Drosophila melanogaster: one gene and its partner. The protein of the gene in region 1 interacts with the protein of each later gene in a pairwise test. Each region holds a gene or a part of one and is shown on either strand. Other genes may lie near its edges. The genes, in order: CG34117 and CG13689.

Region 1 (2,866 bases):
TCAGGTAACTATGCAAGTGATTTACGCCAAATGTTTAGTGATAGTTGAATTTTACGATGAGCACTTTCATCAGTTTGCAAAACGATCTGAATGGTATCTTTGGAAAATCGCTGCTTCTAAGCCTGCTGACCACCGCAGCGGTTATCTGCACGGTGGCGGTGTACACTCTGATTCAGGGTCCCACCTTGGAGGGCTTCACCTATGTGATCTTCATCGGGACTTCTGTGATGCAGGTCTACCTGGTGTGCTATTACGGTCAGCAAGTTCTCGACTTGGTGGGTAATGGCTGAGATCCTTGGTATGCCCACTAACTGAGGTTCTTCGCAGAGCGGCGAGGTGGCCCACGCCGTGTACAATCATGATTTTCACGATGCTTCTATAGCGTACAAGAGGTACCTGCTCATAATCATTATCAGGGCGCAGCAGCCCGTGGAACTTAATGCCATGGGCTACCTGTCCATTTCGCTGGACACCTTTAAACAGGTAAAATGCAAACACCACGTATACTTTATATGACATTATGTGAATTTCGCTTTCAACTGCAGCTGATGAGCGTCTCCTACCGGGTTATAACCATGCTCATGCAGATGATTCAGTAGACAGCAAACACAAGCACGGAGTTTGCAAAATCGGGACGCTTTAATCGCACTACGCTAGTAACTATCTTTCTATATAACTAGATCACTTGGGATCCGAGGGCAGCTTGAAGCCCACCAAATCGGCGGTATCCCTTACGGATCTCTCGCCCCTTCCGTGATATTCCTTGTAGAGCTCCAAGTACCGGCGCTGGCTGGCTAGGTAGGTCAGGTAGGTTTGACCCAGGAAAGTCGCTTCGTTGCGCGCCTTGCAGAATTGTTGTTCCGTGGTGGCGAACTTCTTGTATTGCGCCAAAATGTAGCGCGCGGCCAGAGAGTCCTTGATGCAGCCATTTGGAGATGCCTGGCGCAATTCGTGCAGCAGGGAGCGCAGCACCTTGGTTCCCGCCATTCTAAACACAAAATATTAATTGCATTTGCAAGAAACTATAAACAATCAACGACTTACGTGATTTTTAAGAAAATTCCAATTGCTTCTGCCGAACAGCTGTTCTCAACAGAGTTGCCACCTAGTCATACAATGAATATACAGTGATCACTCTCACAAATTGACACTTTGAAAAATAACACTGGATCTTATTTTTTATAATTATCAATAAATCTGAAAAATCATCAAAAGTTTGACTACGAGCACAGTAAAACTCTGTGACAAACGAAATATTTAAAATTTATTTATTTTAATTATATTATATTCTCACTTTTGAAATCGTTTTGCTATAAATGTCTAAAAGTCGAACGGTCTGATTGGAAAACAAGAACAACCAATAAGTAAAGTACACAATCCAACTGGACTGTCAAACTAAAAATACAAACAGTAAATCCAGTTGGAAAAAACCAATTTATTTTAAAAGTTATTTAGCAGTACACCGAACTCGTTGCGTGGGCTGTTTACTTCCTGGGCTTGCCAGCGGCTGGCTTCTGGCCGGGCTTCTTGCCAGCGGCTCCCTTGGCGCCAGCACCACCCTTGGTGACCTTGCCGGCACCGGCCTTGGTTCCCTTGGCTCCAGCAGCGGGCTTCTTCTTGGGCTCGGGCTTGGCCTTGGGGGCCTTCACCGGCTTGACGAGCGCCTCGCGCTGGCTCTTCAGGGCCTTGACGATCTTCTGCTCCTCGATGAGGAAGGCGCGCACGATACGCTCGCGCAGGCAGCTGTGGCACAGCACTCCACCGTAGGTCCTGGACACGGTCTTCAGGCGCTTGGACATGCGGGGGCGCTCGCTGGGGCGGGAGGGGGTGATACCCTTCAACTTCTCCTTGCACTGGCCGCAACGGGGCACGGTGGGGTTCTTCTTCACATACTGGTAAACCAGACGACCACCGGGCGTGCGAACACTGTAAATTGCAAATGTGCGTTATTTTTCATATTGGTGAGGTGTATTGCAGTTGGATAGTTACATGCGCCGCTTGTTGGAGCGTGTGTTGTAGGACAGGCGTCTCCGGAGCGTCAGACGTTGGACCATTTTGCTGTTGTTGTTGCTGCTTGTCGTGGCGATTCGTGGGTTACATGTGCAAAAGCGGTGAAAATCATTATTAGTTTGGAGTTACACTAGGGTGGGTGCAGTTTGGGCTGCATTTGGTGGTATATTTTCACAATTTTTTCACACATTTCGGCGAATTTGCGTGAAATTGTTAATTGAACACGTGCATACCTCAAAGAGACGAAACTAGAAAGAAAGGTGGCAACCCTGTTCGCGCACGACGTGAACTTGGCTGCGCTGCCCACTGTACGACACTTTCGAGCACTGCAGACCTTGCCAGATTGCCATGAAAACATGGGCTTATGGGGGTTGCAAATTATTTATTTTTTGTTAGAAAAGTTAGGATTTTATACACAATTTAATGCTATATTCTTTTGGTTAAGTATGCTTTGGCTAAGTATATGCGTATTAATATGAGGTTAAATAATGCGTTTTATAAATATTGATCCCTTTTACTACGCCCCTGCGATAACCTGTTGTTGTTTTGCTTGCGATGAAATCTGTTATCAAACCGCGAAAAGATAACATTTAATTGCAGCAATATGAGCAAAACTAGCAACAGTAAGTGTTTCTCAAAATTTCAAAGAGATCCACTTAAATATTTCTTATTTAATAGTCATGCGTTTGGCGCTGCTGCAGCTCAAGGGTTCCAAGGACAAAGTGGCCAATGTCCAAAACGCCGTCACCAAAATCGAGGCGGCGGTCAAGGAGCATAAACCCCGATTGATCACTCTGCCGGAGTGCTTTAATGCTCCATACGGCACCAAGTACTTTCGGGAGTACTCCGAGACCAT
Region 2 (3,129 bases), on another chromosome or scaffold:
CAGTTGCTGTTGGCTTACTGCTATTGCTGCCGGTTGCAGGTGGCCGCCATTTGGGCCATGATTTATGCAGTGGCCGGGCATTAGAAAGGTCGTTCGCAGTTGTCGTCGCCAGTCGTGATTTCAGTGGAGAATGAGGAGCAGGTGGGAAACGAGCTCCGTGGGGCGGAGGAGCTTGGTCAGGAGAGAGAGGATGGGGGATATAAGTAAGCCAAGAAAATCCATTGCCACTCAGAGTCGGACGTCTTAATTAGGTTTTCTGCTGAAAAGTGCCGAAAAATGTTGGCTAATGCCCAACTTGCCACGCCCACACGAGCAGCAGACATTGTCTCTGACCCACAAATGGTCCTCCATCCTACCAAAAGCCCCTCTCCCTTTTTAGTCATGCCCCAATTTGAAGCTTTCTTCTGGTTCTCCCAGCGCGATTATAAATGACATCGCATTAGTCTTGGTCGGGTTAATGTGCGTTTCCTTTGGCCAAAAAACTGCCAACTTCGCACAACTTCATTAGTGGAGAACCATGTGAGAAAAGCAGAATATCAGACACTTGTCTCCCGCTTGAAGAGTTCCGGGAATTAAAGTACAGTTGCTTTTTCGTCCTACGCAGGTCTTGATTCTAGCCCTTTGAGGCATTCAGTTAGAATGGCTAAGTATGAACATTAAGTTATCAAAACATCTTATATACTTAATACGTTCAAGACAAAGTGCTACATATAAAAATATCCCCTATAAAAGGTACATTTTCTGCTTACCAAAACTAAATACCAAACCTATAAACTTGAGCTTAAATTATAACATTTTACGTAAGATACATTTTTAAGTCATTACCAGATAAAAATGAACTGTAAGTTTTCATCTGCGTAAAAACCTATTTTACCAAAATTCTAATCTAAAGAGTCGGTGGTTTGGGCAGTTCTTCGATCCCTGAGTTCCTGCTGATGCTTAATGGTCACCTCGAGGAACTTCAGATAGCCCTCGTCAATGGGTTCGATCTCCTCATCCTCGGAAGAACTCTCGTACACGTAGTCCAGGCAGTGAAACGTTCCTGTTTCCTTGGGAATATCCTCAAGGTCCTGATCCAGATTCGGATTAACCTCAGGGCAGAGACTCATAACATGATTGTGGTGCCATTCAAAAAGGCTTTGGTATACTACAATAACAGGGAATTTTAAATGGTTAACACTATTAAAAAACTTATTAATGACTATTATTGTTACTTTGAGCCACATTGCTCCACTGATCTCGAGATGTATGTGGCTTCGGCTTTCCCTCACTTTTCTGCCTTCGTCTGCGCTGCTTGCTCCTATTCCTGTTTCTTTTCCTTGCCATTTCCTCCGATTTCCAATCCTCCATTGGCTTTTATTAGGAAAATACAAACATTCGTCGCCTTTTGTTTACTTCTCAGCATAAGCAATAACAAGATTGCAGTGTTGCCAAATTATCCAAAATGTGGCCAGAAACTGAAATCTAGCGACCGCTTCACAGAATTATATATTTTGGTTCATATGAAGCGCTTTAATAATGATTCATTATAATTTTGATTTGGCAATTGGTTGTTTTCTTTGTAAATAATTTTAAATAATATCTTTTTAAAAGCAGTTTAAGATTGTGATGTGAATAATCGTCTATCGGACTGTAACAGCTGTTAATTCCAGTGTGTGTACAGATTGTAAACAACGCGAACTCCAGATGGCGTCTTATTACTGTTACCGGAAATTAAGTACAGGGGCTTTCAGGGAACAACAGATGGCGCCACCATGTTACTTTTAGATATAATAATTATTGTTTCTAACTTAGAATCTCATAGATACATATTAAAAAAAATTGTCTTAAAAATCAATACAATATATTACAAAATTTATATAATTAATAATTATGAAATTATGCCGCAAATTAATGAAATGAAATTTTATTCATTTTTGAAGAATTACTTATTCCAACAAAATCTCTTCATTTCTTAAATGATAAAACCCTTATATTTCCCTGCCCTCGCGGCCAACCCCTTGAAGGCCTTTTCCGGTCAACCGACTGACTTCAAAACTCTGGTTCAGACCTTCCCGGCAAAGGGCAAGCGCAAAGTTAAAGCCAGAGCAGAAGCCAAGCCGGATCGGACCGAAATCCAGATCCAAGCCAATCCCAGCCAGAAACATAGCCAAACCAGGGCTAAGGCTAAAGCCTGAGGAAAAGGCAGAGGAGTTTTGTTTTTCTAGCAAATTCAAATCCCGCGCTTATAAATCTCGGTCGATCGGTCGGTCGCTCGAAGTAGCGAAGAAGAAGTTCGGGAACCAAAACTAAAACTGGGATTAGGGCGGATCAATTTGGCTGTAGTGCGAATGCAAATTGGCCAGCGGTACGATTTAAATGAGGCGGCCAAACAAAGAGCACATTGATATGGAGTGCATCCTGCTGAGCCGGAACAAAAAGTCCGGGTATGGATGCACTTCCACTTTACCTGCCTCGTCCGGTTCATAAAGGAAAATTAGGTTTACACCTTCCCGGCCAATATGTTCATAAAACAATTTAGAGATTTACAAGGGGATCAACTTGAATGTGGTGCACAGTACATTCCATCCAACATATCCTGTGCCCCTCGTTCTTTTTTCCGTTCTCTTAAGTGGGTGTGGGTGTGTTTGTATTGCGGTTTTAGTGTAGCGAAAAAGGCGCGTGGTTATGGTTATGGATACGGATACAGATATGGATATCATGGCCATCATCCCGCCCATCATCCCTCACTTTTCCCGAGCAATTCACACATGTTTACTTTGGCAACTAGCGGGGGGAACGAAAGCTCTTCATTTCCGATGAAGTAATATGCGTTCTGATAATATGAAAAACATCCTGCGGCCAGGATTTGCACGCACTTATTCCCTTTTAATGGACTTGGCCAGCGATTTTTTGCCCGCATTTATTTTGCATATTTTTTGCGCGCATCGAAGCCAAAAAAAGATTTTAATTCGAGTGGTTCCTACGTGTGCTGGTGCCAGTAAACTAGTTCGGAAATTCGAATTTACATTGAAATAATTTCAGATTTGGAGAGCATAAACTTATAGACGACGTTGGTCAGGATGGCGGATCATGCTCAAATAGAATATAATATATAGTATATATAGTTGAAAACAGCAATGAAATAAG

The links.
Region 2: the proteins of CG34117 (region 1) and CG13689 interact in a two-hybrid assay, tested with the Drosophila melanogaster proteins (one large-scale study listed by BioGRID).

The regions. Positions count from the first base shown.
Region 1 is NT_033777.3:9,398,953-9,401,818, forward strand, and holds CG34117 (uncharacterized protein), read right to left. Parts: upstream 1,102-2,866; 5' UTR 1,045-1,101; intron 989-1,044; 5' UTR 988-988; coding exon 682-987; 3' UTR 618-681; downstream 1-617. Other genes in the region: Or85f (odorant receptor 85f), read left to right, coding at 1-4, 74-275, 328-483, 546-599; RpL34b (ribosomal protein L34b), read right to left, coding at 1,485-1,926, 1,990-2,054; CG8132 (uncharacterized protein), read left to right, coding at 2,615-2,633, 2,689-2,866.
Region 2 is NT_033779.5:601,092-604,220, reverse strand, and holds CG13689 (uncharacterized protein), read right to left. Parts: upstream 1,409-3,129; 5' UTR 1,351-1,408; coding exon 1,215-1,350; intron 1,148-1,214; coding exon 882-1,147; 3' UTR 659-881; downstream 1-658.